2 linked regions of the Danio rerio genome follow. Each later gene encodes a partner of the first gene's protein in a complex. Links are inferred from orthologs where the notes say so. Each region holds a gene or a part of one and is shown in the gene's direction. Other genes may lie near its edges.

The links. Proteins that work in one complex are often made in the same cells at the same time.
Region 2: smarcd1 (region 1) and phf10 share a complex: the UniProt entries of both Homo sapiens proteins name them as parts of the neural progenitors-specific chromatin remodeling complex. The link is inferred for Danio rerio from reciprocal best matches to the Homo sapiens genes SMARCD1 and PHF10.

What each region holds. Positions count from the first base shown.
Region 1 is NC_133197.1:7,412,237-7,419,307, reverse strand, and holds the start of smarcd1 (SWI/SNF-related matrix-associated actin-dependent regulator of chromatin subfamily D member 1), read left to right. Parts: upstream 1-2,312; 5' UTR 2,313-2,339; coding exon 2,340-2,516; intron 2,517-7,071. UniProt on the Homo sapiens protein: Involved in transcriptional activation and repression of select genes by chromatin remodeling (alteration of DNA-nucleosome topology).
Region 2 is NC_133188.1:6,028,099-6,034,907, forward strand, and holds the end of phf10 (PHD finger protein 10), read left to right. Parts: intron 1-1,948; coding exon 1,949-2,137; intron 2,138-4,530; coding exon 4,531-4,616; 3' UTR 4,617-4,807; downstream 4,808-6,809. UniProt on the Homo sapiens protein: Involved in transcription activity regulation by chromatin remodeling. Belongs to the neural progenitors-specific chromatin remodeling complex (npBAF complex) and is required for the proliferation of neural progenitors.

The sequences.
Region 1 (7,071 bases):
GAAAAATACTGTATTTTGATGAACCCCATTACATTGAACTAATTAGCTCAGTATTAAGGAAAATAAATTGAAATCAAATGGGATCAGCATTTGCAGTTACTAATTTAAAACCAGGTTGTAAAGGTTTTAGAGAGACAAGACGCAAGGAAGATTCAAGAATGTACATTTATATAAATATCCACACTTTTATTTTTATTAATGCAATTCAACCACAAAAATGACTCCACTGTTTATTCAGTTGCTGCATTCAGACTGGCTGTAGACTTTAGCTCCTGTGAATGAGAGTGAAGAAGAAAGTTCAAGTATATATATATATACACACATATACATACATATATACATACATAAATACATACATATAAATACACACACACACACACACACACACACACACACACACACACATACATACATATATATATACATACACACTGGGGTAAATAAGTATTCAACAAGTTCCCATTTTTCTCAGAAAACATATTTCTAAAGGTGCTATTGACCTGAAAACCAAAGAAAAAATATATATGAATAGAAAACAAATCTAATTACTTTACAAATTGTTATCAACATCTGGTGAAAATTTCAAGTCAACAGCACCTTTATAAATATGTTTTCTGAGAAAAATGGAAATGTGTTGAATATTCAATTCAATTTCAATTAATTTTATCTTTATTTCTAAAGCACTTTTACAATGTAGATTGTGTCAAAGCAGCTTAACATTTATTAAATTCAGTTCAGTTCAGTGTGGTTTAGTATTCACTGCTGAAAGTCCAAACACTAAAAAAAGCAAATCCACTGTTGAGTTAACATATATACCAGTAACAAAAAGGCTCTTTGAGCATTGTGCAAAATTAACCATATTCTGACCTGTAATGATAATCTTTACCAGAAAGAAAGACCTGCTCAGCATCATCCAAAGACCAGCTCCTCAAGACACCCAGAGGATGTACGATGGCCTTTGAAAAAAAAATCATTAAATATGAACTAAAATACCACCACAGAACAGCAAATCATTTTACATGGATTCATAAATGAGTAGCACCCAGCATGCAGTTTATATACTTATTTGGCCAGACATTCCTCTGGAAAATGAACACCACAGATAATCTGCACTTCATCATAGATATGCTATAAACTCAAGAACACAGCTAGCATTTGTAACTGTATTTATAAACTGCTTATCAATGTCTATTAAATGTAGAGTTAATGCTAAACAAATAAAATATTAATAAATTAACTAGTTATTAAATGCTTAATAATTATTTATTTATAGTATGCAGATGTTATAAAGTGTTACTCAACAGTTTGAGATAACCTCAATGAAAATATTCCTGTAGTTTGTTTTCTTTTCCTCCTACAATGAGCCTAAGCAATCCAATCATATTGGCCATCACTTCTTTTTCGCCAGGTAAAACATACCTGATATAAATTAAAGATATGAGACTCTATATGGTTAAGACCTGCAGAATAAGCCTAACTTTCAGAATCTCATTCATCACTGTAAAACGATGACAAAACATCAGGCTAATAACACATACAGTATTGTGGGGCAAACAGGCAGTCAGCACAATTTTTAATGTGCTAATGTAATACAACGAATAACACGAATTCAGTAAAATATAGATAAATCTAAAACTCTTACATCAAACGTGCTTTTACCATCTTAGTTTAATGCATGTCACTAAGCACATTAGCCGTTAAGTCAACAAGCCATTAAATCAACAATGTTTCATTAAACCATGGTCACGAGTTACGAACGACGTATAATCAAACTAGAAAACGAACTCTAGAAAATTATTAACAGTTATAGCAGCTCTCACTCTGGCTGTGTAAAATTATCCATATTTATTATTATAATATTTTATTCTTCTTCTGGAAAAAAAATCGTCACGTAACATTTTTGTCCCAGACCCTTAAAAGTGGGGTAAATCATGCAGGCTAATCTGGCATTTCTGCATAAACTCACAGTATAAAACAGCAGCATTACAAAATAAACACATACTTTAACAGTTTAAAATAAAACTTAATAGAAAAATCGGTACTTACACTTTCCTTGTCATCCGTGTCGTCCATTAGCGCATCCATGATCCAATCCGACAGGTAACGCTGTCACAAAAAACTAGGGTCCTAAAGATGCGGTCCTAAAAATGCGGTCCTGAGAGTGCAGCCACTCCAGTTGTGCAGGATTACCCTTCTCATCGTCAGCGCAAGCGCGACGTCTCTTCACACCTCGCGAGACTCTACCTCAGCTCTGAACGCCTGTGCTCTTCAATTCTCGCGATACTAGTTTCAAGTCTCACCGGTGGTTCTCTGTCTGTTTGCGGCTCGCGGAGAAGAAGATGGCGGCGCGGAGTGGTTTTCAGCCTTCGACACCCGGTGGCGGCGGAGCCCCGATGGGACCCGGGCCGCCGGTAGCCGGAGCAGGACCCGGTATGGGTCCCGGTACACCCTCAGGAAGGATGGGACCAGGCGGCCCGCAGAACCACATGTACCGATCACCGATGCCCGGTTACCCGGTAAGGCGCGAGGAGAACAAAGAAGCAGCCGCGCATAAACCGAGGGCTTTAGTTTTAAAGTCTGAACGCAGAATTTGCTCGTTTATTTAAAGCGTCAACATTGAATCCGTTTAAAATGGTTTCTATAGTGTTAAATTGAGAATATACTCTATTATTATGCTCGACTGTGGTTGCGTTGCTTACCGTTTGGTTCAATGCTAAGCGTCAAACTTTATTTCAGTAAACCAGAAATTAGATTATTTGTTTGTGTTTCACTTGAGAATGACTTGAGGAATATTAACCTGCAGTTGGTTTTGATGGTGTAAACAGAGTTTCTGCGGAAGCTCTGTGTGTAACCGCGCGGCCTACAGGAGCATCATGATGATGGCTTTGGTTGCTTTGATGACCAGTGTTTATATGCTAATTTGATGTATTCTGTGCATTACATGAGAGCAAGTCTTTGCCTAAATTACATCTGCTTTGCATATAGTTTGCTACTTAATGATTTAAGAATATGGTTTAAATGTAAAAAGTATAAACATTTAATTTCCCTAGTTTACATAGAGGTAAAGTTGGTTTTATATTCGCACAGTGGTTCATTTAGAAGTATCTGTATTGTTTACCATGTGACTCTGAATATTCGATCGGAATTAGCATAACGTTACATGTGTGACTTGAAAACAACATTAACACTTAATTGACTGTGAACAATGATTGATAGTCATTGGCTGCTAATATGTTTTTGCAATTTAGAATTTGCAAATAATACTTTTATGAAATGATATTATTAAAGGGGAAGTCTGAATGTGCGAATAAAACCAACTTTACCTCTGTCCTGTTTATTAACGTTAGACTAACAAACGTATGTTTTCGTATTGAGGTATAGTTAGCAGGGTTCATACAGTCCTGGAAAAGTCATGAAATTTCAAAAAGGCCTTCTCCGGGCCTGGAAAAGTTTTGGAAAAACACATAAACCCAGAATGTTTTGGAAAAATCATGAAAATTTGCTCAACAATTACGTGTACTTGAGTATATTTGAGATTAACTTGACTGGTACTTGACACTATATTTCATGGGAAGACTTAAAAAAAATGAAATGGGTAAAAAAAAAAAAAACTATAATAAATAACTTCAAAAATCAAAAGCAGTTTATTGGGGTAAAGTTGGTTATGTTTAAACCTTTAGACTTTGTCCTCTATAATATTATTTTACAAAAAATGTTCTTTGTAAATTCTAAATAGTGAAATCATGTTTGCAGCCAAAGACTATCAAAGTACAAAATTGTTCACGTTCAAATAAATATTGCTAATGTTGTTTTCAAGCAGACACATATGGCATTTCAGACTTAATATTCAAAGTGCTATGGTAACCAATATAGGGAGCATGTCACAAGTTGTTGCTGAATTAATGTGTGAATATAAAACCAACTTTACCCCAAAAAGCAGTTATAGCTTCACCTCGCTTTTACCGTAATTCAAGATGCATTTTGAGTTTCGTGTCAAGAAATATTTAACTCCAAAGGTAAAATATTGTGGGTGCTAAAGGCTAATTTGTACTAATTTAAAGTCTTGTGAAAACACATGCCAACATTATTGAATTTTCATGCAGACAGTAAGATAATTTCTAAAAACTATTTTACAGATATGAATATAAACTACATGAATTGTCACATTTTTTTGATATGCTGCAAATTGGAAGGTGCATTTTTTTTACTTATTTACCACATGTATATAGACCAGGGGTAGGGAATCTATAGCTCGGGAGCCACATGTGGCTCTGTAAACAAAAATATGTGGCTATCCAGCTATCTCTTTTCAGTAATATTTCAAAAATTTTAATTACTAGAAATCAGTTTTCTATTGAAAATACAATTACAATTTTCCTTATATTGTATTTTCTACATCAAAATGAATAAGAACTGTTAGCAATAAAAGGACGTTTCAACCAATGTGCATAGCATACGTGGTGCTGTGGTTTTACTTGAATCGCGACAACAATAAAAGGCAAGTTATATTTGTTACATTTCTATGGTAACTTACATTTCATTGGTAACCTCATGCACGTAAATTCAAACATTCGGGTGGCGATGGCAAAAAAAAGAAAAATTTACATTGGCCTTTCTTCGTATATTGTGATTTGCCATATTTGTTTTTATTTTTGAGTTATGCATGGACATAAATAAAGGTTTTGTGTATAAATATATAAAGGTTTTGTCATACACACAACCCATATGGCTTTTTAAAAAATGCATTTGATTAAAAAAAAATCTGAAATCGCTCTTTGCTGAAAAAAGGTTCCTGACACCTGATATAGACATTGCATTAAACACGAAACAACATCATGAATATTTACCTTAGTTTTGAAAAAGTCATGAAATTTTAGTCGTAAAATTGTGAATGAACCCCGAGTTGGTTTTATACTTCCACATTCGTTCATTTTAACAGTCCTCATATTGTTTACCACGCTATGCATATTCTGTCTGAAATTGCATACAAGTATGACTACAAAACAACATTAGCACTTCTTAATCAACTGAACATTTGTACTTTAAAAGAGATGGGCTGCTAATAGGATTTCACTATTCAGTATTTGCAAAGAATACTTTTCTGAAATTATTGAGAAAGTCAGAATATGAATATAAAACTAACTTTACCTCAATTGTTTTATTAGCTAATAAATAAGATTGGGAAAATAATCATATTCTGTAGGCATGGGATAACCGTTTTCAAGGTTTACTGCGGTTTGGAAAAGTCAAGGTTTTAAAACCGCTAAAATGTTTTTTTAACACCATTCCTAAAGTATTTGTAAAAAAATGTATTTTGTTTTTTATGACGACAGTATCTCCAGCAGAAAAAAAATCCATAGAATTTTTAAATTGTAAAGAAATCTGTGTTTTTGAAACTAATAAAGACAGCAGAAGTCAATTATTCATTTGGATTATTCATTCAGCCTGACATGTTTATGCTCAAAATATTATAAATCTTTCAAAAAATAAAATATAATGTTTTCAAATGGGGACTTTTTTTTTGTTTTTTTTAACCCAGGCATTTAAGAAGAACATATTTTAGAGCAGTAATCACAATACCGTGATACAGTGATATTTTTATCCAAGGTTATCATACTGTCAGAATCTTATACCAGCCCATGCCTATACTGTTGCTTGACATGAGATGTTTCTAAGTTTCAGTGACCGTCTGCACCAACATTCAGATGATCAGCAGCACTTGTTTTCTTAGTGATGAACACAACTGTTTGTGTGCTGATTTGTGACTAAATATCTGAGTTGTTCCAGGATTTAAAAATGAATGAGCAATCCCAGCATTATGGATGTGACATTTGCTGTAAAAACTAAAAACATAAATTCACAGAGAAATTATACGTTAACGTTATATTGAAATGTCTGTTTATATTTTCCAAAACAACTAACCACAGAGTTAAGAGATCAGAAAAATATTATTCTGTAAACATGTTTTGTACTTTAAATAAGGAAAATAAACATGCATTATGGATGTGACCAAAAAAGTCTGCGAGTTTACAGTATACAACATGCTTTTTAGAAATTCTGTGAATTAAACTGCAATACCCAAAATAAATAATGCTCATCAAATGGATGAGTTGCTCACTATAGAACAAAAATGATTGAGTTTATTTAATTTGACATTTTTGCATTTATGAGGGAAGAGCTTGGTTATGGATGTGACAAATATGAAATTGCCACTTGTATGACTTTGGTAATTTAAATGTAATAGTTGGAAAACATTGACTCTTGAAAACACAAGACATTTTTGAGCATTTTTAAATGACTTTAAAATACTTCCTTACACAAAAAAAAAACATAAAAAGTGGTTTTCCTGTATTGGTGAAAACTTATTTTTTCAATGGCAAGGTTGACGTTTGTATAGAATTGCTCAAATGTCAAACTCCACATTGCACAAAATATGTGGAGAATCTGTGGCCTCATCTTGCCTTCAAGGATGAATTAGGTCGCAGTTTGTGCTTGTGTACATCCTTCAGTGAAGCCTTGATTTCATTACTCTTCCATTTAGCAGGAAAACATTGGTATTTCATGTTCGTCCACAAGATATTTGTTTTGCATTCTCCTGTTGTTTGGACTGAGATTCAAGGGTATTTGCTGGTTCATTTAAAGTAATAGAGTTGAGGAATGATATAAGCATCTTTCTTTATAATTGATTTCGATTATTGTCTTAAAATGGATTGCTTGTGCTCTTTTTAAATGCCATTTTACAACATGACTAGATTTGAACATTCAGATCTTGATTTTTGCAATTAGAGGGGAACCAGAACAACACAACGTTTACCACAATTACATCATTAAAAAAAAACAAAGTATTACATTTTGTTTTGTCCGCCATTCAGGCAGTTGTTATTGAAGAATTATTTCCGACAGGCCTATCAGCAGCTTAATGCAAAGTGAAAGGCTTTTGTATAGCCCACAAGTCTAAATTCTGTGTAGAAAACTGTCTGGTTATACTTTATCCTGCTTATTACATGGCTGTTTCTCATAATGCATAAACAATTAAACACAAACCATTGTTCTGAGCTGACAGAAACAAAA
Region 2 (6,809 bases), on another chromosome or scaffold:
AACACTTTATAATAAGGTTCTGTTAATTAGTTTGACACAACCGTCCTGGATGTACTTTATCCTGCTTATTACACAAATACTTGACACGAAAACATAAATATTAGACACAAAACATCTGAGCCGTAATAGTTTATTCAATCTTTAATTAAATGCAAAGCAGACCGAAACAAAAACGGCTGATGGAGTATACACTAACCTGTGAGTAATTCAGACACAATATTGTGACAAACTGTCAACAATGCAAAGTTTGACCGAAACAAAACTAGCTGCATAAAGCATAGACTTACCTATGTATTATTAACGGTTAAAAGCCGAGGCATGATAGACAAGCAGATACATATGAACGTAGGTATAATTATTTGGATGTGACAGCCTGATCTCTGGCGTTTTGTCAGTTTAGTGAATTTGTACGAATTCAGTCTTCTGAAATTGTAAAATTTTTAAAAAGGAGGTGTGGCAACCTACTGCGCCCCTAAACCCAATCGTCACTCGTAAATTGATGAGCAAATTGTATGAATAAGATGGTACAAATTCATACGAATTGGCCACTAAATCAAAAAGTTACGAATTGCCGTGAGAACGTGTTGCATGTGAACGTATTCGCTGACCCTGAAGGTGATTCAAAATTTTCTGCGTTAAGCCATTGTTAACTAAGAATAACATACTGAATATTGTCACTGGCCAATCAGAATTGAGTATTCAAGACAGCTGTGTAATGAGTAAGGGATAAAGTACATCCAAGCGCAAAATGAAGGCCCGACAGGCTAATCAGCTGCCTGACGTTAAACGGAGCACTGTTGTATAAGACTGAAGGGCTTTAATCTGCGAAAATCATGCAACAGGATATAGTTTATCCCATTTATTTCATGGCGACATTTCACAATATGTACAAATTGGACAGAACTGTTTTGAAACATGAGTTGAATAATTCTTTAAATAAAAGCAAAGCTGACAGAAACGAAAACGGCTGAATGGAGCATACACTAACCTACGTATTATCTTGTCGCAAAATGGCGCCAGAGACAGACAAGCATATAAATATGGAGGTAAACGCATTCACTGACAGTCAAGATGATTTGAAGTACCTAGATGAGCCTGTGTTATTAGTTTAAGTGGTTGTTATCTGGGAATAGCATGCCTTGGGATGCAGCGACTGACTAATCAGAATTGAGTATTCCAAACTGCCGTGTAATAATGATCTACTAACATGAACAGTTTATTACAGTGGTAATTAATCTTTGTATTTTAAATTTTGGGTTTTAATAATGCATCAGTGAATGTTGAACTGTGATTAATAAATGCCATGCAAGTATTCTGCGTTCATGTTCGTAAATACGTTTAACGTTAACAAATAGAACCTTACTATGAAGTGTGATATTTTTTGTGTATGCTTTTTGAGTGTTTTAATCCGTTTTATACACTTGTGTTTCTGACTTAAACGGAATATTGAGTAGGGTGCGGGGCTTTCTTTTTGCGCATCATTCCCTCATAGAAAACTAATGGTGAGAGGGGCGTGGTTAAGAATACTGTGGCCGAACCATCAAACTGACATCATCAAACACAGTTCAAACACAAGCAAGTGCTCAGATGATTACCAATAAACTTTTTTCAATGGATTACCTTGCGTACGTTAATTGTTTATTTAAAAATAAAAATGTGCGTTAGCAAATTGTTTACATTTTGATTTACCTTTTGATTTCGAATATGTTTTAGATTTTTGAATACATTTTGATTTTACACGCATTTTAATATATACAGCACTCTGTTTTTAAAGCCTTTTCATCATCCTGTTGATAAAAAAAAAAAGTTCTCGTGTATCATTTCTTAAGTTTCTGCTTGCTGGAAAAGATACGTTTTTGTGTGAATGGCTAATGATGATGATGATGATGATGATGATGGTGATGGTGATGGTGATGGTGATGGTTATGATGGCCTTGTTTGTGCTCAGGTCACCCGTCCTGCTTGGACATGAGTGTGGATCTGGTGGCCAAGATCAAGATGTACCCGTGGCAGTGTATGGAGTGTAAGACGTGCACCGTGTGTCAGCAGCCCCATCATGAGGAGGAGATGATGTTCTGTGATAAGTGTGATCGAGGCTTTCACACTTTCTGTGTGGGCATGGACTCCATTCCTATGGGTGAGTCTCTACTTAAGATCTTCCTCTCAGATTTAGGAACACATAAATAAAAATACATTAAAGCTAGAATAAAAGCAGTTATTATTTTTTTTAAAAACCATTCGAAAAACCTAGAGTTGTCTAGAACAAACCATCATTATACAATTATTTGCCTAGTTAACCTAGTTATGTCACTAGTTACCTTTAAGGGCTCTATTTTGACGGTTCATGCGCAGAGCGCAAAACGCAGGGCGCAAACGCTTTCAGGGCGTGTCAGAATGCATTTTTGCTAATTTAAGGACGGGAAAATCCACTTTGCGCCATGGTGCATGGTCTAAAAGGGTTGAGCTTATTTTCTTAATGAGTTATAGGTGTGTTTTGAGAATAAACCAATTAGAGCCTCATCTCACATTACCTTAAAGAGCCAGCTGCGTCGCGCCATAAGCGCATTTTGACGTAAAGTAAGTTCACTTTCTCTTTTGCTCTCGTGGATAGGGAAACCTTTACGCACAGACATTAATTAGCCTATAAATTATTAATTTCGTTTGTTAAGCGCAAAGATTTGTTTCAAAACTATTTCTAAATTCAGTTTTAATTTCCAGCAAACGAATAAATGAACAACAATAACAAAGTGTGCTCAAAAACCTGAGTTATTTCCAAATACACCTGCTGTGCCCCATATGGTCTAAAATTTGACAGGTGGACAAATCTAAGCTTGTTTTTAATAAAACAAATATAAATATGGATATAATAAATAATACTGCTAATAATAATAACATTATACAAAAGAAAATTGAATGAACTGAAAAAGCCTCCCGAGATGAAGAAAGTATGAAGGCAGTGGTTTTTAAATTCATGTAGGCTAGAAATTAATATGTTTTGTAATATTTTAATCATTGATATTTATATCCTGTATATATCCTTAAGATATTATATATTTTTCATATGTAAAGATATTTGCGTATTGCTCTGCATCTTGTGTGTAGTGTGTAAGCCAGGCGCACTTTGCGCCAGACAATAGACCGACTTTGTTCTGGTCTTAAGATCAGACTATTTACAGTTTCTCAAAATAGCAACGCGCCAAAACACGCCTGCTTTTTTAGACCAGAATGCCTATGGGTGCACATTTGAGCGCAAATGCATTTGCTATTTAAACGGTGTGGCGCAACACCTCAAAATGACCCTTGCGCTGAGCTAAAAGTAGCAAAAGAGTATTGCGCCGCACCTTGCGCCACATTGCGCCGCGTGTATGATAGGGCCCTACATGTCACTTTAAGCTGAAAACTAGTATCTTGAAAAAATCTAGTAAAATAATGTGCTGTCCGTTAGAAATGTGTTGGAAAAAAATCTTCTTACTGTTAAACAGAAATTGGGAAAAATATTCAGGAGGACTAATGATTCTGACGTCAACTGTGTGTATAGTGTTTACATTTTTACACAAATTGACATTATTAAAACTTAATTAAAATGTTAAAATAGGATTTTTGTCTGCGTTTAGGATTTATAATTCTTTAAATATGAAATCACTTGTATAAATGATGATGCAGATGTTAAGGTTAGTAACATATAATAATAATTATAATAATAATAATTATTATGGGGGGGGAGGGGTCTCTCCTTACCACCACCAGTGTGCAGCATCCGCTTTAGTGGTTTAACGTCTCATCCGAAAGACATCGCTCAGTGACAGTATTCACCTTATTCTTCGCCAACAAGCGGGCGCAGCCATTTGAATCTTTTTGGCTCGAGACTTCCGGTCTCATTCACTTCCATTCATTTTTAGACATTAAAAACTGCTCGTTTTGATGTTTGATGTTGCAAACTGATATTTTCTTATTATATTATTCTACTTGGTCTGTATAGTCATGCAAACATTTGTTTTTAGAGCAAGTAGTTTGACCGTTTTCTGACGTTTATTATTCCTAAACGTCATTTCTCCCATAGGCGACTGAATCGGAAGTTCTAAAACAATCCTGAAAACAGGCGCACTTCCGCATTTTAGAATAAGGTCAATAGAGTTTTTCTTTCACTATACTGAGGCATTAAAAGTCACACAGACCGCAGGTTGAGCGCGCCCTGTTGTCATCACAAACATCACTTCTAACAGCAACCTAGTATTTCTTATGTGGTCTCCCATTCAGGTACTGACCAGGCTCAGCCCTGCTTAGCTTCAGTAAGAACCGGTCTTGCGCTCATATGGCTGTGTACTGAGATTGTAGCTTTATGAGACCAAAAACATAATATAATATAATATTTTTTTATTTTTAATCAGCTTAAACTTGTGGAGAACTTTTAACAAAAGAAACATCCTCATGCTTTCCTACGAAATCTTTTGTTGAACATAGAAGTGTGATGGAACTATTATTGTTTTATTTCATATAATATATTTCTGTTTGCATTTTTATTTTGTACAGGTTGCTGGGTCTGCGATTTATGCAGCAAAGACATTTCAACACCTCAGAAGAAAGGACAAACAAAAACACCAAAAAAGGCCAAATAACTTGCAAAAAATGGACCCAATTTTAGACCATGCTTTTGATTTATTCATATTTTTCTATTATTTGAATAAGTCTGTATGTGTTTTGTATGTCGCATTAATCTGTTATTTTGTAGCTGATTTTTTACACGCCTGTTTCTCTGTTGATTATGCTTTTTTATTGATTTGTTAAATAAATTTGAAACCTTTTTTTGTCAAGCATTGCTTACTTCCGTCTTTACTAGTTCTCTTGACGTTGTGATAGTGATATTTATCAACATTTCAAAAGAAAAGCTTTTTTTTATTAGCTTTTTTTGTACTAATTTATTTATGTAATGATCATACTTCAGTAAACGGGTAGTAATGGATATTTTTCTGATCTAAAAATTTTTTTATGATCTAAAAACTGTTGGGATACGAACATTTAGATGCTATGAAGGAATGAATGAATGAATACCCGGGCAGATATTCTTGACTCTTACTGGCTGTAGGCATCTTCCTCGAGTCCCATTATTAGTGTTTATTTTTAGCTTTAAGTTCAGCTTCTAGACTAAAGCAGAACAGCACCTTGTAAATTATTTTATTTATTTATTTACTTTCTATAATTATTTTTAGAGGTTTTTCACCTTTAATTAGAAAGGACCGTGGAGGTTACAGACAGGAAAGTATTGGGAGCAGAGAAAAGGGAAGGGTCGGCAAAGGACCTCGAGCCGGATATCGAACTCGGGTCGCTGTGAGCACCACGGTGCTATACAGTGCTCAGCATTTTTAAGTACATCCCTCACAAATCTCTCTTTTATATTCATATTTTTAATAGGAAGCTATACAATTTTATATTTGTGCATATACATTAGATTAGTCAGTACTGAAGCTAAATCTGGAGCTAATCTAACAAAATAACTTACGATAACGGTCCAAAAACTAGTACACACAAATTTATGTAATAGAAAAATATTGAATACAAATTTTAAAAAGAGGAAAAATCAAGAGAAGCGATAAAATTAAAAAAAATGGTTGAAATTTTGTAGATTGTAATTTTTTTACTTGAATTTAATTGTTATCTTTCAATTTCTAAATATGTTTGGTGACTAAAATATTATTTTAATAAATATATCTGTTTAATAAATCTGTTTTGTTTAAATGCACTAAAATACATTGCCAACATTCACTGAGAAATTAATAAAAATGTTTGTTTTCAAAACTGTTCTGAGCACTGTATGTCAGCGCACCTAACCACTAGGCCAGGGGTGGCCAACCCTGTTCCTGGAGAGCCACCTTCCTACAGATTTCAGATGCGACCCATATCAAACACACCTGAACCAATTAATTAGGATCTGAACACCACGTAATAATTATAGGCAGGTGTGTTTGATATGGGTAGCAACTGAAATCTGCAGGAAGGTGGCTCTCCAGGAACATGGTTGGCCACCCCTACAGTAGGCTATTGGCGCCAACAGATTACTTTAATAGTTTATTGCATATAAGTGGTTCAAAACCACTGTTTATAAGTTTGGCACTTGAGCAAACATGCCAAAAACGACAAGGTTCAGTTCTTTTCAAGTCTAACTCCATAATTTAAAACAGAAGAACGAAACTCAAGTATCAAAATGATGACAGGATTGTCAGTCTTGTGTGAACTATCCCTTTAAGGGCTGCAGTATAAGGTATGATTTAGGGTTATTTAAATATTAAATAATTATTACAAAGTGTTTTCAGTCTCGGTTTTCTTACCAAGTGCATCCGGAGATTTCGTCTCAGTCCAGAACTTTCATTTAAGTGCATCCCTAAGATAGAAAAAACCATATAAACAGTAATAAGAATATTGCATAGACACTCACATGCACTCAAAAAAATTACGTTTGCTGTTTGTACAAACTACTTATTTAAAATGAGCTGATACAACACAATAGGGTATATGCAAAAGCATGCAGAAGGACTTTTAATTTGTCAGTAACCCGAGTCAAACACATCCGGGGAACTGTATGCACTTACAAAATCGGCCCTTGTAATGTCTGTTTTTAAAAATCAATAAACTTCACTGCCTAAATGATTTATGATATAAAGTGGGTTTCAGATTGTACAAGAATCAATGCATTAAATTACATTTTCCTGTACCATGTTTTTAAAATATTTACATTTATTTTACTTCAGTATTTACAATGGCGTTTCTGCCCTAGCCTGCTGATCCTGACGGCCCAAAGCGATCTCACGGCAATT